Linked DNA regions of Macaca mulatta. The protein of the gene in region 4 purifies or fractionates together with the protein of the main gene of each other region. This does not show direct contact. Links are inferred from orthologs where the notes say so. Each region holds a gene or a part of one and is shown on either strand. Other genes may lie near its edges.

Region 1 (5,454 bases), on a different chromosome or scaffold from region 4:
ACATGAGCTGAAGACTTGGGGGAGGGGAGATGATTTTGTCTGGGGGAATTGTAGAGATACTTGGGATCTGAGTCTTGGCAAGCTAACAGCATCTTTATCTTGAAAATAAACTATAGTATGTTCTTACTCACACCCTTTCCCTCCATGCAAGATGCTGGAGCGCAGCAGCAAGAATGAGGGTTGGCGTGCTGCTGCTCCTGTTTCACAGGGAGACTAATGCCTTAGGTTTGCCCTCAGGAAACCCCAAGAATTAAGTTAAGGAAAGCTTGGAAAAGACAGTTAGAGACCCACTTAGGCTGGTATTCTCAGAGGTCTTAATGGACGCTGTTCTCTGCAGTGATGACCTAGCACATAGTACCACAGAGTTGGTGGAAGGTGTGGGTTGACTGGGTATCTTGAGAATTGATTTATTTATTTGAAACCAGCTGTTTTCTTTACTAGTAGAAAAGTATCATATTCTGCCTTGGGGCAGCTCTCACACAAATCCTGACTGGCTGGTTAGTCAGTCCTAAAAAGGGTTAATACCAGGTCAGTTATTAAATCCCCATAAAAGCCCATTACCTTCTTCCAGGTCCCTGGCCATGAGCCTGTCTCCTACCCTGAAGGGCAGGCCTTTGAGAAGGGCAGGCTGTTGCTGATGAGGCCCAAGGCAGGAGGAGGAAGGGAGCAGATGCTCCTGGGAGAAAGTCCAATGAGGGCAGATCCCTTGGCCACCTTTGTATGGAAAGAGCCTTGACCTCACCATTAACGGTGAATAGAATGGTGGGAAGGGGGAGTTTTAGATACTTTTTCTTGCTTTGGGGTTGACTCTTGCCCCAGGTGCTGCCCCTTCTCCCAGAAACCACTGATCTATTTCCCTCACCTAGTCACCTCCAGACCCCAGAAGCTCTCGCCAACCCAGCTGAATTCCTCTGCAAATGATTCAGGGGGCTCTGGTAGGCCACACAGTGCCACCTTCTGTGCTGGACCATATCTGGAGGGAGAACTGAGCGAGGGTGCACAGGGGATTGTCTCCAGGTGGGGCCAGCAGGGGAAAGAAAATGGTGGCCACTTTTACATTGTTTTGGATAGTAATTATTGATTCAGGAAACAAATACAAAATCCTGAATGAAACGACTTGGAAAACGTAAATAGAATCAAGATCCCAAGAGGAGCTGAAGATAAATAAATGGGAGCGGGGTGTGGGGGAATGGTCGGTAAGTGAGAAATGCTAAAATGATAGAATAAAGCTTCAGGATTGTTGGAGGTAGAGCAGGAAATGTGTACTGCACAGTTCCCAAATGCCCTGGTGTTCTGATAGGGGATGGAAACCAAAACACTGGCCAGGTTGGATTTCATACTGTAGTCCTGCCGTTTTTCTTCCCAGAGCAGAGATAAAAGTTGGCCCTGAACGATAGCTCGTTCTCTCTAAAAGGCTGCTAGTTAGGCCCAGCCTGTCACCCTGGATCATGTGTGTCGTGTATATTGAGATTTACGGCAGGGGGCTGAGGCTTGCAGATGGCCGAGTGGTGAGAGGCCCCACTGACCTCGGTCTGTTTCTCACTGGAGCGCAGGTTTGGGAGCAGCAGCAACACCACATCCTTCGGCACACTCGCGAGTCAGAACGCCCCCACTTTCGGATCACTGTCCCAACAGACTTCTGGTTTTGGGACCCAGAGTAGCGGATTCTCTGGTTTTGGATCAGGCACAGGAGGTGAGCTGCTACAAGTTCTCCCTGCGCAAGCACAATGGGTCCCTCTTGCCTTCTTCCCCCAAACAAATGAGTATGTTTTACCTGACCAGTCTGTTTAGTATTTTAAAAGCTGACCAGGCACGTGGCTCATGCCTGTAATCCCAGCACTTTGGCAAGGCGGGAGGATCACTTGAGCCCAGGAGTTTGAGACTAGCCTGGGCAACATGGCAAGACCCCATTCTCTACAAAAAATTTTAAAATTGGCCAGACATGGTGGCACACACCTGTGGTCCCAGCTACTCAGGAGGCTGAAGCAGGAGGATCACTGGAGCCCGAGAGGTCGAGACTGCAGTGAGCTGTGATTGCACCACTGCACTACAGCCTGGGTGACAGAATGAGACCCTGTCTCAAAATAAATAAATACATAACATACTGAAAGTGGTTGAAAAAAAAATTTTTTTTTTGAGACAGAGTCTCGCTCTGTTGCCCAGGCTGGAGTGCAGTGGTGCGATCTCGGCTCACTGTAAACTCCGCCACCCAGGTTCATGCCATTCTCCTGCCTCAGCCTTCTGAGTAGCTGGGACTACAGGCGCCCACCGCCACACCCGGCTAATGTTTTGTATTTTTAGTAGAGACGAAGTTTCATTGGGTTAGCCAGGGTGGTCTCCATCTCCTGGCCTCATGATCCACCCGCCTCAGCCTCCCAAAGTGCTGGGATTACAGGCGTGAGCCACCGCGCCCAGCCGAAAAATAAATATATATATATATATGTATGTATCTCATACCAATGAAGAAATATATATATTTTTTAGGTTTTGGTTAGGCTTAGAACATTGTGTCATTTCTTACCAAAGAAATTACTGTCTTTATTTCCTCTCAGGATTTGAGAAGCCCAACATAATAATGGTCTTACTAGGCCTTGGTTTAAAAATCTAAGCCAACAGACTAAAAAAAAAAAAAAAAGAAAACACGTAGAAACTTCACAAAACATGTTGCATTTGTTTAACACTCTGCTTCTTCAGACGGCAGAATATGTGTCTTCCGTTTTGTTCTTGCAATAAACTGATGAGGCACAGAATTTAGGTATCATTACAGTCGTACCAATGACGAAACAGAAACTCCAAGGAACTAAGTGATTTGCCGAGAGTCAGTTAGCAGCAGAACCAGGCTTAGAATCCAGCCATCTTGCTTCTCTGGCCCTCAAAAAGAAGAGGAAGCAAATGGATGGAAAAACAACCACAGCACAAAAAAAAAAAAAGTTTTCCTAATGAAATGAATCTGTGTGGTCCAGCGCAGTTGAGAGAGAGGCCAAACCAGAGACCCTCTGCCTACAGCTGGGGCCGGGGAGGGAGGAAGAACCTAAAATACCAAGAAGATAACTCATAAAAAGTAAAGGATTTCTTCTGCCTTCTGGGGGATCTGAGCAGCTCCAGAGGACAAACTCAGAATAAAGGGGCTTCTGCATGTACCTTTCCTGCCTTCCTGTAGGTGGGGGAGGCATGGAGGGCTTCCCATGACTGAGAAGCACAGGAGGGCAGGCACTTAGCATGGGGACCACCTTCATCTTTCAAGTGGACGCGTGCTTTAACTTCTGTCTTCTGCTTTTCAGGCTTCAGCTTTGGATCAAATAACTCGTAAGTATCCCCCTTTTTGAGTCTGACCTTAATTAAAAGCATTAAATAAGGTTGGAAGTGTGTGGATCTTGCTGGATTTGTGCATTTTCTTTTCATTTTTTCCTGTTTTTAGAGTTTGTCCTGGAAGTGTGGGGGTTCAGCAGCAGGGTTTAGGTTTTGTGGACTTGCTCTTCTCCGTAGCAATGTGACAGAAGGTGCCAGGCCTCGCCTTCTTAAGAGACATGGTTCAGAGAGAAAGAGAGCAGCCTGCCAGTGAGCCGGGCCTGAGGGCAGCGCTGAGGAGATGCTGCTCGTGACTTCCCTTGTGGGTTTCTCGGAAGCCGTGTGCTAACCCCTGGGCTCTGGGCCATCACCAGGTCTTGTGCTGATCCATCCTCTTTGCTTCTGTGTAGAATTTCATGGCGTTAAAATTCAGTCTTAGCCAGGTGGGTGGTTCATGCCTATAATCCCAGCACTTTGAGAGGCTGAGGTGGGAGGATTGCTTGAGCCCAGGAGTCAAGACCAGCCTGCGTAACATAGTGAGACCCCATCTCTACTAAAAATTTTAAAAATTAGCTTTGCATGCTGGCTCATGCCTGTGGTCCCAGCTACTCCAGAAGCTGAGGTGGGAGGATCACTTGAGCCTGGGAGGTCGAGGCTGCAGTGAGCCAAGATGGTACTGCTACACTCCATCCTGGGTGACAGCCAGTCCCTATCTCAAAAGGAAAAACAAAACAAAACTGGACAGGCACAGTGGCTCACACCTGTCGTCCTAGCACTTTGGCAGGCCAAGGTGGGCAGATCACTTGAGGTCAGGAGTTTGAGACCAGCCTGGCCAACATGGTGAAACCCTATCTCTACTAAAAAATATATATATATATATAGATACACACACACAAATTAGCCAGGCATGGTGGTGCATGCCTGTAATCCCAGCTACTTGGGAGGCTGAGGCAGAAGAAGTGCTTGAGCCTGAGAGGTGGAGGTTGCAGTGAGCTGAGATCACGCCATTTCACTCCAGCCTGGGCAACAGAGTGAGGCTCTATCAAAAAAATAATAATAAAAAATCGGAGTCCTGACCTTTGCCCACAGGCAGAGCAGCAGAGCCTGTGACTGCTCTGTGACAGAGCAGCTGACTCCACCACTCTCCTGTGCTTCCTTGCAGGTCTGTGCAGGGTTTTGGTGGCTGGCGAAGCTGAGGGGGTGTCAGCAGGCCCTTCGGTCCCTGGGACCAACTGCATCCTCAGCTGCTTCACCGAGAAATGCTGGAGCAGGCTGCTCAGACCGACGCTGCCATCAGAACACATACACCCAGAAAGAAACAACAGAAACCGAAACTCACGAGACGCGTGATTACTTATTTTATATTTCACGTTGGGTTTTCCCTGCCACTATTAAACTGTCCGTTTCTGTACAGAATGTATGTGCGTTTTTTCAGATCACAGCCAAGGAGATAGCCCCGTTTCTGTGGCTCTGAGAAGCCAGCAGAGCCTCCATCAGCCAGCACTGTGTCTTCAAGGATGGCATCCAAAGTCACCAGCGTCGGGTGTTGGTAAACAGCATCGAATGTGCCATGGTCTCACTTGGACCTAGCGCCCTCCACATAGGGAAGAGGTTGAAGGCTGGTGGGTTGTCTTTTTGAGGCCAAAACTTGGTTATCTCCTCTCCATGTTCTTTTTGCCGTTGTGTATCAGGACCATCCAAGGACACACTCTGAGATTGAGAAGAGGCACAGGAAGCCACTCACGCCAGCAGCAGTTGAGTTTCAGAAGCAGCCATAGCGCTCTTCAGTACAATAGTAGCCAGCGTGAGGCAGGACAGTGCTGCCCCTTAGCCGGCCTTGTCCGCTCATCTCCATGTGGCTCTTGGGTGCTGTGTGTCCTACTCCAGAGAGGAGGGACCAGTTGCTTGAGAAGACAGCCTTTATATTCTGTACGTGGCAGTGACATTGGTAACCACACCTACCCATTGTCTGCTAACCACAGTGCAGATAGCCCTTGGGTAGACCCAGGAAGTGGGAAGACACTGCTATTGCCAGACAACACTAGCAGAACGGTAGTGGATTTGACAACAGTGTTTGCTAGCACGGCCCAGAGTTCATCACTGCAGTTCTGTTACAGTGCTTCTTTATCTTTAATGCAGTATCTTTGAGGCCTGTAACATCCTAGA
Region 2 (6,334 bases), on a different chromosome or scaffold from region 4:
CCCAAATCCAAACAGACCAGAAGGGCCCCAAAGGCTTCTGCAATGTGGCTTGTAGTACCCAGTGAAAGAGAACCAGAAATGGCCAAACCCTTCTGGTAAATCTGAAAGAAAGAACCTGGAGATATAAAGGTTGAGAGGCTCTTAAGAAGAATCAAACCAAAGAAGGGCTATGTTAGCTTGCCTCCTGGCTGCCTCCCACCCCAGCCTTCATATGGCAGACTGGAGAAGCAGCTCTTTACATGCCTAGTGCCTAGCACGGTGCCAGCCACAGAGCAGCCATTCCATTAACCATTAACTTGTTTTTTTTTTCAATTAGTGACTCAACAAACCAAGTTGCTAATTTGACAATTTGTAACTTGATCTGCCAGGCTAAAAGTCTCCTTGGAGTAAGGGCCTGGTGCACCTTGACTCCACTCTGCAGGAGTGGCCTGGCGAGCGGCATTAGCCTCCATGACGTTGGAGAGCTCGTTGATGATCAGCTTTAGGATCTTGACCAGCAAAGGAATGTTTGTCCAGCGTTCTGGGTCTGGGAAGGAAGAAAAAGGCTTCAAGTCAGAGTGTCACTGGGCTTACTTCTGGAAGTAGCCCTGTCCCCTCCTCAGTGCTGCTCACCAGAGTTCACCACCCCTCAGACTTTCACTGTCCCTGACTATATCTAGTCTCCAAAGAGTGATTTAAAGTTTAATAACTTTATTCTGTTTGGTATTGTAACAGTTCAGAAGGTGGGAGAGATGAGAGTTCAGGGATTAAAGGAGATAGAGTCTTGTTAGTAATAAAGCTCTGAAACCAAGGAACTGTATAGAGCCAGTACTCTAGTCCCAGTGACTTACAAATTGAGAGACAGCGGAGGTAATTATAAATCTACATTAAAGATAGCAGCTCTATACTCCCTACCTGCAAATCCTTGGTGTTACAGGCCAAAGTCAACTCAGTAACAAAGACACACTAACCATCTGTGCCCAAGCCTCAGAATGAAGCTGGAAACTGGGATGCTTGGTACCTGAGACTATTTTTGTCCTTTTTTTTCCCTCCAGACAGAGTTTCGCTCTTGCTGCCCAGGCTGGAGTGCAATGGCGTGATCTTGGCTCACTGCAACCTTCGCCTACCGGGTTCAAGCTATTCTCCTGCCTCAGCCTCCCAAGTAGCTGGGATTACAGGCATGCGCCACCATGCCTGGCTAACTTTGTATTTTTAGTAGAGGTGGGGTTTCTCTATGTTGGTCAGGCTGGTCTCGAACTCCTGGCCTCAGGTGATCTGGCAGCCTCGGCCTCCCAAAGTGCTGGGATTACAGTTGTGAGCCATCACACTCACTTTTTTTTTTTTTTGAGATGGAGTCTTGTTTTGTTGTCTAGGCTGGAGTGCAGTGGCACGATCTTGGCTCACCACAACCTCTGCCTCCCAGGTTCAAGCGATTCTCCTGCCTCAGCCTCCCAAGTAGCTGGGATTACAGGCGCCCACCACCACATCTGGCTAATTTTTGTACTTTTAGTAGAGACAGGATTTCACTATGTTGGTCAGGCTGGTCTCAAACTCCTGACTTCAAGTGATCCATCCGCCCTGGCCTCCCACCAACTGCTGGAATTACAGGCGTGAGCCACCACGCCCAGCTTATTTTTGTCCATTTTTGACAACAGGAAGAAACCATATGTTCTGATCCCTTTTATCTAAGTTTCCTGTTGCTTCTTTATCAAACCCATCACCAACAATTATGTTTTGAAAATATACACCACAATGCATTCCTTCCCTCCACCCAGGTATCCTTAGCCCCTTATTATAAGGAGAGGATTGGAGGAATTGCAGCATCACCCACTTTTGGCTGACTTAGAGCGGGTGCGGATGCCCTCATCCATGCTGTAGATCTCCTCTCCCTTCACACGGATATCCTGTAGCCGTTTGTCATCTGCATTGATGCCATGCTGGAGCAGCTTACAGAGTGCCACAGAGCTGGCAAGGAAGATCCAAAAAAAAGTCAATCAGTTACCTATCTAGAGTTCATGCCAAGGAGATAAGCAATCATGTCCTAAGGCCCTCTATTTGACAGTGAAAATTCTGTTAACAACTAATTAGGAGAGCTAAGAGAGTTCAGCTGAAAATGAGATTTTAGAGTTCATGAGATGGTCTAATGAGATCTATTCTTCTTCTTCTTATTTTTTTTTTTTGTGATAGGGTCTCATTCTGTCACCCAGGCTGAGTGCAGTGGCGTGATCATGGTTCACTGCAAAGCCTTGACCTCCCTGGGTTCAGGTGATCCTCCCACCTCAGCCTCCTGAGTAGCTGGGACTCCTGAGTGGGTAGGCACGTGCCACCATGCCTGGCTAATATTTTTGGTAGAGATAGGTTTCACCACGTTGCCCAGGTGGGTCTCAAGCAATTTGCCCACCTCAGTCTTCCAAAGTGCTGGGATTACAGGTAACCTGTTCTTCTTGAACAAAGCTAGGGTGGGCAAGCATCACGATGGCTATCCATATTGTAACGTGCAACGAAGTGATAAGAATCAGTGGTATAAAAGTCCAGGATAGAAAGTTAAGAAGCCAGGGTTAGAGGCTTGGGTTTTTTATTTTGAGACAGTTTTGCTCTTGTGGTCCAGGCTGGAGTGCATCTGCCTGTCGCCCAGGCGTGATCTGCCTCCTGGGTTCAAGCGATTCTCCTGCCTTAGCCTCCCGAGTAGCTGGGATTATAGGCACCCACAACCACATCTAGCTATTTTTTGTATTTGTAGTAGAGAGAGGGTTTCACCATGTTGGCCAGGCTGGTCTTGAACTCCTGACCTCCAGTGATCTGCTTGCCTCAGCCTCCAAAAGTGCTGGGATTATAGGTGTGAGCCAGTGCGCCTGGCCAAGGCTTGGGTTTCTAAAGGAAAATAAGCCACTAGCAGCACTTAGCTGTGTGAAGTCTGCGGTAGAAAAGGGATCTCTAGCAAGCAGAGATCAGAAATATATAGTCTACCTGTGTTGACTGTCTTTTGGGGATTTCAAGATGGCAGCTATTCACATATGTGCCTTAGCAATAAAGAAAGACAAGGAAAAGGGAATACAAAGAGCCATCTGAAATGTCAAACAAAAATCAATGGAGCAAATCAGGGAAAAAAAGAAATATAGGTCAGGAGCAGAGGCTCAACACCTGTAATCCCAGCATTTTGGGAGGCCGAGGTGGGTGGATCACTTGAGGTCAGGAGTTCAAGACCAGCCTGGCCAACATGGTGAAACCCTGTCTCTACTAAAAATACACACACACACACACACACACACACAAAAGAATTAGCTGGGTGTGGTGGAAGTTGCAGTGAGCCAAGATTGTGCCACTGCACTCCAGTCTGGGGGACAGAGTGAGACTCTGTTTCAAAAAATAAAAAAACACAAAAGAAAGAAATATAAGTGGTGAAGTGGTGGCAGAATGCCCAGAAAAGAAAGATGGGATTCTACCTGACTTTGCCTTCATACTGTCCATAGAACAGGTGCTGTCGGCTTGTCCACTCAGCCATCACAAACTCTAGAGCAGGTTTGCCAGTAGGTCCTGGGAGGCTACACAGGAACTCCAAAAGAGGTTCTAGCTGAGTGTGCACCAGATGAGCAAACACCATGATCAGGGACTAGGAGAAAATAAGGACATTTGCTTCAGGGAAATCAATTTCAGAGACATAAAAGATGAGAGGGAACTGGCCAGTCAGATAAGAGACAGAGTCTACACTGAGGGTATTATTCACAGGACAAGAAAACATGGAGATTTCCTTGTCCATGTTTCTTAGGCCAGACAGATCCCATTTTACTTAACTGTCCTACAAGGGTAGTAACAGGGTAAAATAACTCAGGACCAAAATACTAATTTTCACTTCTATCAGCCAGGAGTAGGAAGCCCACTCCCTACTGTTCTCTTACCTGCATGACACTGAGCGTCTCTGCCTGCTGCATCTTACTGAGGATGGCACGAAGAATCTGGTCTAGATTCTCCCCCAGCTCCCGCCCTGCCTTGGAGATGAGGGTGGAAACAAGGCGGCCCACAAAGGCCGCAGTGAACTCTGAGGTGCGGGGGTCCAGGAGCTGGCTCACCACTTGCATCACATACCACAGTCCATTGTGGCCCTGCTCATCATGCCACTGGGCTACTTGTTCCAGGGTCACTGACACATAGGCCCGCAAGCACTCTCCGCCATTCTGGGGAGACAGGGGTGGCAAGCAAGATTAGTAACCGAGAGACAGATGCCAGGAGGCCCTCAGTCTGTATAAACAAATGTTCTCAGAGGCCTATGCCTCATAAAAGCGGTGAGTCTATAGTATTTGTGGTGGGCTCATATCACTGGAATCAGGAATTTACTGTTATAGACACAGACATGCATTACATAATTCCCCCTTTACCTAATGAGCTATCTCAAAAATATGTATTATTATTATTTTTTAATCACAAGGGACAATGGCCAAGCAAAATGAATTTTAATCATAAAGGTCTACCTCTGGTACTAAAAAAATATGCTTACAATCTTGCAATAATTGGGGATACTATAGGACCTCATATAGGTCTTACACAAACCACTAGTTGCCTAGGGATTTCTAAGCTGATCAATATTCACTGGCAAGTTCCTATAACCTTTATAATCAATGACGGTAGTACACACCTGAAAAGGTAACCAATTCACCCAGGAAACAAAAAGAGAAAAAATATTTAGGCATCTCTCCCCTCTCTAGAGGCCCATCACTCTGCTGATTTTATTAATAGAGGAAATATGCAGAAAGACTTTCTTATGGCCCCAAGTCTAGATGTCTGTAATCTCTTTCATAGTAGCAATACCCAATACAGATGGGCAGGGTGCTTGGTATCTGTATTTTTAAAAACTGTAACATGCTCCAAAGCACCAGAAACGCTTGGCTTTTGCAGCCTGAACCCTTCCTGAATCTGCTAAGTAAATATGGAGTTGAGGAATTCCGTATTTCAAAAGCATAAAACCATGTCAGATTTCTCAGCGTAGTAAAGGCCCATGACTGGGGAGCTATCTTCCCCCTTCTAGTCTCCATGTCTCAGATACCTGCATGGTGGCATTGTCATCTGTGTGAAGGGTACACTGTGCCACAGCAGGGAAAGCTTGGCAGATGAGAAGCTGGGAAAGGGGAGGCTTTGTATTTCGTACTACTGTTGTCAGGATATCAATGGCTGTCTGAAAGAGAGAAGAAAAAAGAGTCAGAATTGCCTCTGGGGTTGGGGGTGCCCAACAACTAAGATCCTTACTGGATGGGTATCACATAGCAACCCAGAGAAAGCTTATTAATGAAAGGCAAGTTTCCAAAATAAAAGGAATAATTAAATGGGTAGTGCTCTCAGCCTCCTCCTAATAGTTTACTAATTGATTAGTCCTAGGGGTGGGCACTAGTACATGGTAGTGGATTGGATAACCAGGTGACATACTTAGTGGCGCTGTGTAATGGTGGCACTCTGTTCAATTCACTGAGGGTACCTCTGAAACAAGAAGAGCCATTTTCTTTCTTTTATTCTTTTTTGAGGCAGAGTCTCACTCTGTCACCCAGGCTGGAGTGCAGTGGTGCGATCTCCGCTCACTGCAACCTCTGCCTCTTGGGTTCAAGGGATTCTCCTGCCTCAGTCTCCCAAGTAGCTGGGACTGCAGGTGCCTGCCACCATGCCTGGCTAATTTTTGTATTTTTAGGAGAGACAGGGTTTCACCATACTGGCCAGGCTGGTCTCAAACTCCTGACCTTGTGATCTACCTGCCTTGGCCTCCCAAAGTGCTGGGATTATAGGCGTGAGCCACCGCGCCAAGCCAAGTCATTTTCTTAAAGCTTCAGAGAATCACCCACTGTCATTGTGGGCAAAAGAGCTCAGCAAAATCACCCCATGAATCTCTAATGCTATTAAGTTCTTGTCAGCTACATGCATCTGTGGGTGGCGCTTGTATATCTCACACACACACAGCCACTTACCGCACAGAGCCCTGCAGGGATCTTGTCTGCTGGGGCCTGCATTATGCTGACCAGAGTGGGAATCAACCTCATTTGCATTGGGCCCTGACAGGCTTCAATCTGGGACAGCTCCTTGAAGATGTCCTGAGCCAGTGAGGCGACGACGGGATCTGAAGTGGATAAGGCAACACGGAATCCCCCTGCCTGATGGTCTGCATCTGCTTCTCGCTTAATGATGCCTGTTGTTTGCCCTAACCTAACAACTTCTGCATTGATTACTTATCACACATCCGGGACCTAGTGGGGCCACATGAATAACCTGAAAGAACAGGAGTGATCCTAAATCTCCAAGAGGTACACTTTGTATGGCTTCATTAAAGTAGGGACTAGTCTTCAACAGCTACTCCTAAAACAAAATGTAGTTTTTCTAA
Region 3 (6,334 bases), on a different chromosome or scaffold from region 4:
TAAAATGTTAGTGATGTCTCTAAGTGTCTGATGGTATAGAGTTTTACAAAGATAAATTTTTAAAAGTTTTACTGTTTCTTAATTCTGGGTTAGCTTTCATTTGAGATTATCAAATGAACAAATTGAGGTGGTTGTTATACAAGCATTCTTTTGGTACATTTTAGTTGTGCTTTGGTTGACTTGTGAAGCAGAAGGAACACTAAATCTGAGAACAGCTATGTGGTGATGAAAGAACGTATGTAAGTCACACAAAAGATAAATATTAAGGTCAGGTTACTCCAAACTAGTACCTCCTAAAATCTCTGGTTATAAATAAATTTTATGATGTTTTGAATAGCACTTTTGATCAGGATAATGGTAGCTTTGGACAGAAAGTGATGAATGTGAGTGAAGCTTACTTTCTGTCAGAGAGCAAAATATAAATGCTGGGTGCAGTGGCTCACACCTATAATCCTAGCACTTTGGGAGACCGAGAAGGTTGGATCACCTGAGGTCAGGAGTTCGAGACAGGCCTGACCAATATGGTGAAACCCTGTCTCTACCAAAAATATAAAAATTAGCTGGGCGTGGTGGCTCACGCTTATAGTCCCAGCTACTCAGGAGGCTGATGCAGGCGAATTGCTTGAACCTGGGAGGCAGAGGTTGCAGTGAGCCGAGATCGCGCTACTGCACTCCAGCCCGGATGACTGAGCGAGACTCCGTCTCGAAAAGAAAAAAACGCTTTAGATTGCTGTTACTGAAAAGAGGTCTGTTATTTAAAAAATGAGGGTATTTGTGTTTGTCGTGGTTGAAACCAGATGTTACATTAGTTTTATTGGGTACCTCTGGTGAATATTAGGAAACCTATTTATATCAAGGTATGCTTACCATTCAGAAGACAACTCTTTCATGCCAACACTGATAATTTAATAATTTAACCACTGTCACTCAATTGGAATAACTTTGTTTTCAAATTACAAAGTAGTTCAAATAAATGGAAAAGGACTGAAAATGACCATAACTCGTATTAAACAAATGTTAACAAATGAAAAATACAGCTAAAGCACTCCAACATAACCATCCTGAAATTAATCATTATAGACCTGTTTAAGTACACGTGGATGTGTGATTTTGTACTTAAACCACACATTCATGTATATATAAACAGGTCTTTTTATACAACGAAATTTATGTAAATGGTATCTTTAACTGGATATGTCTTGCAACATTTTTTCAGTTTAAATAATGAAACAAGCAGTATTTAAAATGTTTAAGGGAACTTATTTGTCCTCCCAGAGTCTCTCAAAAATTCTAAAAGTTCTCCTAGGGAAATAAAGTGAGAAAAGAGGTAAGTGACAAGATTTTGTAGATATGGTGGTTATCTACGAAAACCACCAGTGTTACATTTTAAAAAGAATTATTGTATGTAAATCTTTAGCTTTCTTTTTTGTGTGTCATAGAGACAGGGTCCCTCTGTGTTGCCCAGGCTGGTCTTGACCTCCTGGCCTCTAGTGACCCTCCCACCTCGACCTCCCAAAGTGCCATGGTTACAGGTGTTAAGCCACCCCACTTCACCAATATCTAACAGTTCTTAAATTAATGCATCATTGTAAAATTGAATTTTAAGGCTACACTCCACTCCGTCAGTCTTTTTATTGCCAGTTAATTGCCACCTAAATATTTCATTTTTATTTAATCTTGCTTTGGATTTTGATTAGTAAACTTCTAGGGATGTAGTTTCACATTGATACCCTGTTAACTTGGGAGCTATGGAGGTGTAGTGAGGAGGTGTAGTGAGGAGGTGTATGGAGGTGTAGTGAGGAGGTGTAGTGAGGTGTAGTGAGGAGGTGTAGTGAGGTGTAGTATGGAGGTGTAGTGAGGAGGTGTAGTGAGGTGTAGTGAGGAGGTGTATGGAGGTGTAGTGAGGTGGTGTATGGAGGTGTAGTGAGGTGTAGTGAGGTGTAGTGAGGAGGTGTAGTGAGGTGTAGTGAGGAGGTGTAGTGAGGTGTAGTGAGGAGGTGTATGGAGGTGTAGTGAGGTGTAGTGAGGAGGTGTATGGAGGTGTAGTGAGGTGTAGTGAGGAGGTGTAGTGAGGTGTAGTGAGGAGGTGTAGTGAGGTGTAGTGAGGAGGTGTATGGAGGTGTAGTGAGGAGGTGTATGGAGGTGTAGTGAGGTGTAGTGAGGAGGTGTAGTGAGGTGTAGTGAGGAGGTGTAGTGAGGAGTGGAAACCCCCAGGTAGGGATTTTCTGGAGGGGCCAGATGGTAATTATTTTGAGTTAGAAATCTTTCTGAAATGAATCATACTGGCCTAAAAGATATGCCAGATATAATTTTACTCATTCGTGTGATTGTGGTTCAAGATAATTGCACTGTGGTATGGTGGTTCTTATTTATTGAGGACCTGTCATGTACCAGTCACTTCACATGGTCTCTCCCTCACCCCACCCACCCTCCAGCCCCAAGATTCAGAATGCTATAGTATTCTTAGGTTTTATTGAGCTTAAAATAATTGGCCATGGCCATTTAATGTATGATGACTTTTTTAGTTCCCATCTGCTTTGTCATTTTGTTGACCTACTGTCACTTCAGACTGTTGTGTGCTTGAATATACATAATCCCCCACGCCCCTTCTTATTTATGGGCTTGGAAAAGGCATAAAGGCATTAAAGGCAGTTGGAAAAGCCTGTTAGTGTAATAGTTCTATGTGATGAATAAATGAGCTTTAAGTTTGGAACTCAAGAATCTGAGTAAAATAGGTGTTTGGGTTCACAGACTACTTGACCATTATTTTGATTGAAAAACTTTATTTTTGCTAGTCAGTGCTCAGCAAGAATATTGTTGAGCAGCTGAATTCCAGTTGGTGTGTATGTGCTAAGTGAATGTCCTCATTTATGCTGAAATGAGTTCCTACCAGAATGTCAGTTTTCTGGATATTATTTGAAAGGAATATTTTGGGTAGATTGGTCTACTAAATAATGTTGGAAAGCCAACCTCTTTTTTAATGTGAAAGTTTTTATCTTGCCAAATTTTAACTTTTTTTATTTTAGAACAAATTCTGTACAACATAAAACAAGAGTATAAACGAATGCAGAAGAGAAGACATTTAGAAACGAGTTTCCAACAGACAGATCCGTGTTGTACTTCTGATGCACAGCCACATGCATTTCTCCTCAGTGGACCAGCTTCACCAGGTAATAACATTTCTTTTCATTTATAAAGTTTATTATTTAGAGTGGGAAAAGTTTAATCCAAGTTGTCTTTAGTCATTTAAGCTACTATATCTCCTCTGAGTTTTAAAAAAACATTTATACAAGTAATGCATGACATCTTAAAAATATGGTACAAAATAAGGAATTATCACCTGGATTCCCACTAACCAGGGACAACCACCTGTATAATAATATCCCCAAAGTGGACATCCTGTAAGTACTATGATTTGTAGCCTTTATTAAAAAAATTAACAATAGGCCAGGCACGGTGGCTCATGCCTGTAATCCCAGCACTTGGGGAGGCCAAGCGAGGTAGACAGGTCACTGGAGGTCAGGAGTTGAGACCAGCCTGGCCAACATGGTGAAACCTTGTCTCTACTGGAAATAGAAAAATTAGCCAGGCATGGTGGCATGTGCCTGTAGTCCCAGCCCCTTGGGAGGCTGAGGCATGAGAATCACTTGAACCTGGGAGGCGGAGGTTGCAGTGAGCTGAGATCGTGCCACTGCACTCCAGCTTGGGCGACACAGTGAGACTTTGTCTCAAAAAAAAAAAAAAAAAAAAATTAACAGAATACTATATGCTCCTTTGTTAGGTATAGATGTACCTTGTCATGACCGAATGCTTATTGATAATTCAACTTAGATGTTTTGCTGGTATAGTATTTTAAGAAATATCCCTGTATACGTACCCTCCCTTACACACTTGTCTTATTGGGATAGATTTCTAAAGGTGGATTATTTTATTACTTTTTTTGATCCTGTATCTGTTTTTACCTACCTTTTGTTGGGGGGAGTGTTTGCAAATAACCTTCCTTTTTAAAAAAAAAAAAAAGGAATAAGGGCTACTTGAAGCAAAGAGAAAGTTGAAGGTTTTGCTGAAAGAGAGCCATCAATAGTGGCTCTTACCTTTAGTAAAGTTCTCAGCAAAATAGCTTTTCTTGTGACAACAGTTGCCTTTGTTCAATGCTTTCTCTCCTCCCTCTAGCAAGGGTGGGAAAACCTGGCAGAATAAAAAAATTTCGACCAGGCGCAGTGGCTCATGCCTGTAATCCCAGCACTTTGGGAGGCCGAGGCGGGCGGATCGTGAAGTCAGGAGATCGAGAACATCCTGGCTAACACAGTGAAACTCCATCACTCTAAAAAGACAAAAAATTAGCTGGGTGTGGTGGCAGGTGCCTGTAGTCCCGGCTACTGAGGTAGGAGAATGGCATGAACCTGGGAGGCAGAGCTTGCAGTGAGCAGGGATCACACCATTGCACTCCAGCCTGGGCGACAGAGCAAGACTCCGTCTCAAAAAAAAAAGAAAAAAAAAAAAATCAAAGACCATAATATAGTCAAATAAAATTAGATTAGGAAACATGAAATTGTTCAAAACTAAATACTGCCATGCCCATTGTGGGGGGCCAGTTATTAGTGGTTGAAACATAGTAAGAGGTGAGGGTTGGGTACTAGACTGTATTAGCAGGAAACCAAGATCATTATTTCCTTACTCACTTAGAAGATCAGTTAACTGGCTCTTAAGTAACAAAGCTGGGAATGTGAAAATAAATTAAGATAGCCTTGGGTAATTATGAATAAAGCTGGTGTGCTTTGTTATTGTGATATGCGCAGTTCTAATAAGCATAGTTAACTAGCTCCTGCCATGCCGGTTATAAGCAGCATTAAGTTAAGAGAGTAATATTGGTGGTACCAGGGCAAATTCACAGAGTGAGATGAAGAAACAATAGATAACAAATGAGTGGTGCACTTGAATGTGAATAAAATACTTTTAGCAGTATTACAATAGATGTTATTACTACAAAATATTTTCTCTTTTATAAAAAAATACTAATAGGTATAAAAATGCTGAAGGAATATTCTTGCCAATTTACTAATGATATTGACAGACACTGATGTTGCAGCTGCTTTGGGATTCTTAGTGTGATGACAGTGTAGTTCTATGATACTATAGAGTTTTGAGCATAGCATTATCAGCTCAGTACTTGAGCTTATTTTTCCATGCGAATTATTGTTAACTGAATGGTAGTAGTCAATGTGTTCAAACACCTTTAGAATCATTTATGCTTCTCCAGCAAAGTAGATTCCAGAATGTCTTTTTTATTTTGTTTCATTTTGTTTTTGAGACACGGTCTCACTCCGTTGCCCAGGCTGGAGTGCAGTGGTGAGATCTTGGCTCACTGCAGCCTCTACCTCAGCCTACCCTGTAGCTAGGAACAGGCACATGCCACCACTCCCAGCCAATCTTTGTATTTTTACTAGAGACATGGTTTGCCATGTTGTGCAGGCTGGCCTTGAGCTCAAGGGTTCCACCTGCTTCAACCTCCCAAAAAGTGCTGGGATTACAGGTATGAGCCACCATACCCAGCTAGATTCCAGAATGTTTTTTAATCTTTTTTAAAAAGGGTTCATGCTGTACCTTCTTTTTTTAAACAAAGGTTTTATTGTGCCAACATGAAATTTCTTTTTTTTTTTTGAGATGGAGTTTCTCTCTTGTTGCCTAGGCTGGAGTGCAGTGGCATGATCTTGGCTCACCGTAACCTCCGCCTCCTGGGTTCAAGTGATTCTCCTGCCTCAGCCTCCCGAGTAGCTGGGATTACAGGCATCCGCCACCATGCCCAGCTAATTTTGTATTTTTAGTAGAGACGAAGTTTCTACACGTTGGTCAGGCTGGTCTTGAACTTCTGACCTCAGGTGATCCGCCCGCCTCGGCCTCCCAAAGTGCTGGTATTACAGGCGTGAGCCACCATGCCCGGCCTATTTTCTTTTTTAATAAAGGAAAACCCCTTTCTAAAGGTGTGAAATGATGGTAGAATAATTTACCGGTTCATTGTGTGTGGGCTGTTAAGATATTAATGGTATGGCTTTGAAGATTGTGTCTTTTTACTGGCATAATGATTTGTTATTCTGGGACTAAATAAATTAAGTTTAGACCTGAGGTGTTCTTTATTCCTGGTGTAGGAAAGTTTAGGCACTAAAATACTTCATGGTATGGTATTTTCCAGAAAGGAGATGAGAGGTTTTGTAATGGGACCCATCATTGTAATGTTTGTTTTTTGTCTTTTTTAAATTTAATTTTTAATTTTTTGTTTTTGTTTTTTTGAGATGGAGTTTTGCTCTTTTTGCCCAGGCTGGAGTGCAGTGGCACG
Region 4 (6,888 bases):
GGCTACTCAGGAGGCTGAGGCAGGAGAATCGCTTGAACCCGGGACACAGAGCTTGCAGTGAAATGAGATCACGGCACTGCACTCCAGCCTGGGCAACAAGAGTGAGACTGTCTCAAAAAAAAAAAAAAAAGAAAGAAAAAAAGTAAAAGAAAAAATTGTCATCCTTGCGCAGGTGGCATGCTAATCTTCTCTGTATCATTCCAATTTTGGTATACGTGCTACCAAAGTGACCACTCGATTACCTATTCCAATATAATGAAACCCCATCTCTACTAAAAATAAAAAAATAAAAATAAAAAAAATTAGCCGGCTGTGGTGGCGCATGCCTGTAATCCCAGCTACTCAACTAGCTGAGGCAGGAGAATCGCTTGAACCTGGGAGGCGGAAGTTGCAGTGAGCCGAGATCACACCACTGCACTCCAGCCTGAGCGACAGTGAGGCTCTGTCTCAAAAAAAAAAAAAAGAAAGAAAGAAAAATAAAAAACAAAAGAAATAGAATATTGCAAGTAAAGTTAAAGTCTTCTTTGACTCCTCTTCTCAGTTCCATCACACTCCTTTCTACCCTTTCTTGAAGCAGTAACCATCAGGATATGGTATGTATATCCTTGCAATTAAAAAAAATACATATATCCAATAGCCAATATGCTTTTATGTTTTTGTAAAAAACGTACACAAATGACATTATACTATATATATAATCCCTCTAGATAAAGTTACATATAGTGTTAGGCTTTATGTAATAATTTTGGAAACAGGGTCTTACTCTGTCTCCTAGGCTGGGAACTCCTGGGTTTAAGGAATCCTCCTACCTCGGGCTCCCAAAGTGCTGGGATTACAGGTGGCCTAGACTTTATAAAGCTATTATCACCTCTTTCTGCTTTTCTCAACATTATCCTTTTGACGTCTATCTAAACCTGTGGAAACAGACGACCGTCAATCCTTTTAAATGTTATACAGCATTAAATGTTGTGCACATGTGTGAGGCGTGAGTTTAACTCTCGAGCCTCTCCCTAGAAATGGAAATCCACGGTCACAAGCAATGGGCATTCCCGTTTTACTGTTAGATTCTGCTCTCCCGCGAGAGGTGCTTGGCGTTCCCCTGAGGGTTCTGGGGGAGCTCGGACTTGCGTTCCCAGCAGGCCGGTTCTCCCCCGCGTTGTGACCAATTTGCGTCACTGGGGTTCCCAGCGGACTCAAGTGTGCCCAGGACTGCAGGGAGGACTCCTCGGTTACCGGGACTCTTTCACCATGCTGGACTCTTCTAAGGCGCTTGACTGCGCTGATTTGAGCCTTTTTCCGTCTGCATGTCGGCAGGGGCGCCCAGGAAGTCGGGGTCGCTCTAGCTCAACCTTGTTTGGAGTCTTACAGCTTCAGGCCAACACGGGGCTGGGAAGCTGAGCACTTATTCCGTCCGCGTTCGTAACTGGGGCTGGAAGACGCGCCCAGACTGCAAACAAAATTTTATCATTTTGTTTGTAGGACGCAGCGGCCAAGGCTGCCAACCTATGAAACGCTTTGAGAAGCTGGGCGCTTTGGGAGGCCGAGGCGGGTGGATCCCCTGAAGCCAACCTGGGAGACATAGTAAGATCCTGTCCCTAAAAATTAAAAAAAAAAAAAAAAGAAAAAAAATTACCCCGGATGTGGTGCGCGCCTGTAGTCCCAGCTAATTGGGAGGCTGAGGCGGGAGGATCGTTCGAGCCTGGGAGTTCGAGACCAGCCTGGGCAAAATAGCGAGACTCTGTCTCTTTTTTTTTTTTTGAGACTGAGTCTGGCTCTGTCGCCCAGGCTGGAGTGCAGTGGCCGGATCTCTGCTCACTGCAAGCTCCGCCTCCCGGGTTTACGCCATTCTCCTGCCTCAGCCTCCCGAGTAGCTGGGACTACCGGCGCCCGCCACCTCGCCCGGCTAGTTTTTTGTATTTTTTAGTAGAGACGGGGTTTCACCGTGTTAGCCAAGATGGTCTTGATCTCCTGACCTCGTGATCCGCCCGTCTCGGCCTCCCAAAGTGCTGGGATTACAGGCGTGAGCCACCGCACCCGGCCGAGACTCTGTCTCTTAAAAAAAAATAAGTAGCCATTTTCCGGGGTGGGGGCATCCCTCTCTGGTTCCTCGCTCTCCAACTGGCCCTGGTCCTGGGGGCGTGAAGGCTGCGATCTGGAGAGACAGAGCCGCGGGCTGACTCTGGAGGCCCAGCCTAGGATCCCTTCATTCATTCATCCGTTCTGTCACTCACCCGTCCTGCGCGCACGCGAGCGCCATCCTAAGCCCCAGGACCCCAAGTACCCCAACCCCACGGGGCACAGACAAGGACTGGCTGGCCAGCGCCTGGAAGCCGCGTGCCTGACCGCGTCTGCCCAAGCGAGTACCGCCTCCCACCCAAGAGGTAGCACGGCCGCGACAGTCCGGCCGCGCCCAACGACTCCCGCCCAGGGGCGCGCCGCCTCCCTGTCAGCGCATGCGCGCCCCCGAGCCCGCCCTGGGCGCCGGCGCACGTGGCCCCCACGGGCCGGCATGCGTGCGCGCTCCCGGCTCGCCCTCCCACGCGGTCCATCGCGCCTCCCGCCCCACCCTAAGCGCAGCGCCGGCCGCAGCGGCCGACTGAACCAGGTTGCGTGCGTGCGCGCGCGCACGCGCGGGCCACGTGGGCGGGCGCCGTGCCGTTGCCCCGCCCCTTGTCAACCCCGCCCCCGTCGGCCCCGCCCCTGCCCGCGCGCCGGCGTCGGCTGCGTCTCCGGCGTTTGAATTGCGCTTCCGCCATCTTTCCAGCCTCAGTCGGACGGGCGCGGAGACGCTTCTGGAAGGTAGTGAGACGCGGCGGGCCGGGCGGGGGCAGGGCCGGGCGGGGACAGGGGCGGCGGCGGCGGGATAGGGGCCGGAGCCGGGGTCAGGGCCGGGGCAGGTGGCGGGCCCAGGGACAGCGGGCGGCTGTGAGTAGGTGGGTGGCGCGGGCCCGGCCGTGCCGGGGCAGGAGACGGGCATGGGGTCGGCGCCCGCCCCCGCGAACCCCCGTTTCATCCTCCGCTCTCATTCCCGTCCCGGTCTCAGTCCCGTCCCTATCCCGACTCCTCCGTCCGCCGTTCCCCGCGCCCCGCCGCCCCGGATGCCGGCCCCGCCCGCCGCCTTCCCGCTCCGAGGCCCGGCCGCCATGGCGCCGCGGGCGGGAGGCCTTTGTGGGGCGGGCACGTGGGGCGCTGGGGGCGCGGGAGCGGGGCCGCCATGGGCTGCGGGGCCGCGCGAGCGCTCGCCTCCGTCCTCTGCCTCCGCAGGAACGCCGCGATGGCTGCGCAGGGAGAGCCCCAGGTCCAGTTCAAAGTAGGTAACCCTGCGGGGCGGGAGGCGGCCGAGTCCGACCGCGTGCGACTCGCGGGTCCCTCCTCCCGGACCCACGATGGCTGTAACGGGGCCCCGCATCCATATTCTTTGTTTTAAGTGAGCCTGTGATGGTTAAAGTTCCATGACTCTGGGATCTTGAGAGGTGAAGTGTTTTGGGTTTACTTCCAAATGTGTTCTCCAACAGCTTGTATTGGTTGGTGATGGTGGTACTGGAAAAACGACCTTCGTGAAGCGTCATTTGACTGGTGAATTTGAGAAGAAGTATGTAGGTATGTGCAGGAAAACCTTGCTTGTGGAAATACGTGAGAAATGGGTAAATTCATCCACTCAATCATGTCGTTTCCGTTTTAGCCACCTTGGGTGTTGAGGTTCATCCCCTAGTGTTCCACACCAACAGAGGACCTATTAAATTCAATGTATGGGACACAGCCGGCCAGGAGAAATTCGGCGGACTGAGAGATGGCTATTATATCCAAGGTAGGCATTTGTAACTTGCTGAACAGTTTTTGAGAGGTTTTGTGTACTTCAGTTTTCAAGGTTATAGAAAATCAGGTCTGTTCCAACAAATAGTGCTTAATACTGTAATGGGAATTGTGTCATTTCTGGGTTAAAAAAAGACGTGGACTTCAGGGAGTTGACCACCATTTTGGTGGCAGAGGAGAAAATTTTATGAAAGTTGCATGCTGTGTCATGCTAGGCATGGTTTAGAAAAACCTATGACTTACACTGGAACTTATAAGTCATGTTTAAAACAATAACAGGCTGTTAACAGCAGTTTCAGTATTTGAAAACTTTGGTTCTTGTGTGTAGTTTGGTGTGGCGATCAATGAATATTTCTAGTCCATTACAAAGCAACACCAGATACTAGACCAGAGGAGATAGGAGGTCTTAACAAGTGTTATACAAGACTAGCCGATTTCTTGTTAAATTGTTTGTAGTAAGTTGTGCAGAGTATTTTTCTCAAATAGTTTGATTTAAAAATCTCAAGGAAAATGTTCATTGTACCAAAAAGAGAGGAATAAACAAAATACTCATCTCTCCTGGAACCTCACGTTGCTAATAACACATTATCTGGAATCATTCCATGCCTTTTGCTCTTCTTGAACGTGTACATATAAACACAAGAATTTCCCCCCCAAAAAATCCTTTAACCAAAAAGTTGTGGTTTCTTGCCTTACTAACTGTACCATAGTTATTCCTGCAGGTGAGTATATAGACTTTATCTGGGTTATTTAATTTTTTTTTTTTTGAGACAGGGTCTTGTTTTGTTGCCCAACCTGGAGTGCAGCTTCCGCCTCCTAAGCCTCAGCCTCCTGAGTAGCTGGGACTACAGGCACCTGCCACTTTGCCTGACTAATTTTTGTATTTTTTTTTGGTAGGGATGGGGATTCACCATGTTGCCCATGCTGGTCTGGAACTCATGAGCTCAGGTGATCCACCCACCTCAGCCTCTCAAAGTGCTGGGATTACAGGCATGAGCCACATCGCTTGGCCTATCTGGAGTTTTTAAGACAGGAATGATATTTCCTAGTATAGTCGGCCATTTAAAGACTTTCTGAAGACTATTTCCAGGCCCTACCCTCAGAATATGGCAGCTTGGTTCTCCAGAATCTCACTTGGCATTAATTACTTCAGATAGTGTTTTGGGGATGAGGGGAGTATTAATGGTGAAGTTTATCAGGGAGATTTGATAGAATCAGCTCATCTTTCTTAGGAAGAGTTCTGTGTTAATGTTCTTAGAATTGAAAGAGACTTTGAAAGTGAGGGGAGAGATCTAGGTGCCTTGTTGAGGTCTAAGACTATAGTTGAATCCTAGTCTGCGGTTCTTAGCATTCTTCACTTGTGTGGTAAACAGTGTACTAATTACCGCAACTGTTTCTTTCAGCCCAGTGTGCCATCATCATGTTTGACGTAACATCGAGAGTTACTTACAAGAACGTGCCTAACTGGCATAGAGATCTGGTGCGAGTGTGTGAAAACATCCCCATTGTGTTGTGTGGTAACAAAGTGGACATTAAGGACAGGAAAGTGAAGGCGAAATCCATTGTCTTCCACCGAAAGAAGAATCTTCAGGTGTGTAAAATTAAAACTTCCTGAGTTATTTCTCTTAGCGGAGATTGTATGTAAGACCATGAAATTGACCAGTGTCTATTATATATGGAAATGATTTTTTTTCTCCCAAGATGGAGTCCCGCTCTGTCCCCCAGGCTGGAGTGCAGTGACGCAATCTGGGCTCGCTGCGACCTCCGCCTCCCGGGTTCAAGCAGTTCTCCTGTCTCAGCTCCCCTAGTAGCTGGATTAAAGGCATGTACCACCACGCCTGGCTAATTTTTGTACTTTTTTTTTTTTTTTTTTTTTTTTTTAGTAGAGACGGGGTTTCACCATGTTGGTCAGGCTGATCTCCGACTGCTGACCTTAAGTGATCCACTTGCCTTGGCCTCCTGAAGTGCTGGGATTACAGGCATGAGCCACTGTGCTGGCAGGAAATAATTTTGTCTTTTTTTATACTATTGTTTTTAAAGAATGATAGAGATGGGGTTTCACTGTTGTCTGGGTTGGTCAACTGAGATACGTGTGTGTATTTATATATTCTTTGTTTTTTGAGACAGGGTCTTCCCCTGTTGCCCTGGCGGGAGTGCAGTGTCATGAACATAGCTCACTGCAGCCTTGAACTCCTGGGCTCAAGCAGTCCTCCCACTTCAGCCTTCTGAGTAGCTGGGACCACAGGCATTCAAGACCATGCCCACCTAATTTGTTTTTTTGTAGAGATGGGGTCTTGCTCTGTTGCCCAGGCCTGATCTTGTACTATTGGCCTCAGGCAGTCCTCCCACCTCAGCCCCCCCGCAAAGTGCTGGGATTACAGGCATGAGCCACCATGCCTTGCCAAGAATCTTAACATTTTCTTGTCTTGCCATGTCCTAGAAAAATCGTCATCTTAATGAATTTTAAAAGGTAAAATTATTTTCTTTTAAACAGTACTACGACATTTCTGCCAAAAGTAACTACAACTTTGAAAAGCCCTTCCTCTGGCTCGCTAGGAAGCTCATTGGAGACCCTAACTTGGAATTTGTTGCCATGCCTGCTCTTGCCCCACCGGAAGTTGTCATGGACCCAGCTTTGGCAGCGCAGTATGAGCACGACTTAGAGGTATTACGGCCACTTTGCTGTCTAGGCTATAACGTTTGACTTGTATATTCCTGGCAGTTTTGATCTGGAGTGTTAACATTTTTTCATCTCTTCGTCTAGGTTGCTCAGACAACTGCTCTCCCGGATGAGGATGATGACCTGTGAGAATGGAGCTGGAGCCCAGCGTCAGAAGTCTAGTTTTATAGGCAGCTGTCCTGTGATGTCAGCGGTGCAGCGTGTGTGCCACCTCATTATTATCTAGCTAAGCGGAACATGTGCTTCATCTGTGGGATGCTGAAGGAGATGAGTGGGCTTCGGAGTGAATGTGGCAGTTTAAAAAATACCTTCATTGTTTGGACCTGCATATTTAGTTGTTTTGGAACGCGGTTGATTCCTTGAGTTTCAAATATAAGACTGCTACAGTCACATCA

What was found. Proteins that work in one complex are often made in the same cells at the same time.
Region 1: the proteins of RAN (region 4) and NUP214 purify together in Homo sapiens (affinity purification with mass spectrometry; 3 studies listed by BioGRID and IntAct, counting the BioPlex papers as one, with this or other methods). This does not show direct contact. The link is inferred for Macaca mulatta from reciprocal best matches to the Homo sapiens genes RAN and NUP214.
Region 2: the proteins of RAN (region 4) and IPO9 purify together in Homo sapiens (affinity purification with mass spectrometry; 3 studies listed by BioGRID and IntAct, with this or other methods). This does not show direct contact. The link is inferred for Macaca mulatta from reciprocal best matches to the Homo sapiens genes RAN and IPO9.
Region 3: the proteins of RAN (region 4) and AKIRIN2 purify together in Homo sapiens (affinity purification with mass spectrometry; 3 studies listed by BioGRID and IntAct, counting the BioPlex papers as one, with this or other methods). This does not show direct contact. The link is inferred for Macaca mulatta from reciprocal best matches to the Homo sapiens genes RAN and AKIRIN2.

Annotation. Positions count from the first base shown.
Region 1 is NC_133420.1:16,313,621-16,319,074, reverse strand, and holds part of NUP214 (nuclear pore complex protein Nup214), read left to right. Parts: intron 1-1,553; coding exon 1,554-1,716; intron 1,717-3,281; coding exon of another isoform or gene 3,282-3,306; intron 3,307-4,450; coding exon 4,451-4,762; 3' UTR 4,763-5,454. UniProt on the Homo sapiens protein: Part of the nuclear pore complex. Has a critical role in nucleocytoplasmic transport.
Region 2 is NC_133406.1:59,523,776-59,530,109, reverse strand, and holds part of IPO9 (importin-9), read right to left. Parts: intron 6,074-6,334; coding exon 5,925-6,073; intron 5,147-5,924; coding exon 5,018-5,146; intron 4,152-5,017; coding exon 3,876-4,151; intron 3,590-3,875; coding exon 3,423-3,589; intron 1,945-3,422; coding exon 1,811-1,944; intron 527-1,810; coding exon 404-526; coding exon of another isoform or gene 395-403; intron 1-394. UniProt on the Homo sapiens protein: Nuclear transport receptor that mediates nuclear import of proteins, such as histones, proteasome and actin. Serves as receptor for nuclear localization signals (NLS) in cargo substrates.
Region 3 is NC_133409.1:98,261,600-98,267,933, forward strand, and holds part of AKIRIN2 (akirin-2), read left to right. Parts: intron 1-3,026; coding exon 3,027-3,170; intron 3,171-6,334. UniProt on the Homo sapiens protein: Molecular adapter that acts as a bridge between a variety of multiprotein complexes, and which is involved in embryonic development, immunity, myogenesis and brain development.
Region 4 is NC_133416.1:138,251,766-138,258,653, forward strand, and holds the start of RAN (GTP-binding nuclear protein Ran), read left to right. Parts: upstream 1-2,767; 5' UTR 2,768-2,799; intron 2,800-3,264; 5' UTR 3,265-3,274; coding exon 3,275-3,310; intron 3,311-3,515; coding exon 3,516-3,600; intron 3,601-3,682; coding exon 3,683-3,808; intron 3,809-5,216; coding exon 5,217-5,404; intron 5,405-6,307; coding exon 6,308-6,478; intron 6,479-6,577; coding exon 6,578-6,622; 3' UTR 6,623-6,888. UniProt on the Homo sapiens protein: GTPase involved in nucleocytoplasmic transport, participating both to the import and the export from the nucleus of proteins and RNAs. Switches between a cytoplasmic GDP- and a nuclear GTP-bound state by nucleotide exchange and GTP hydrolysis.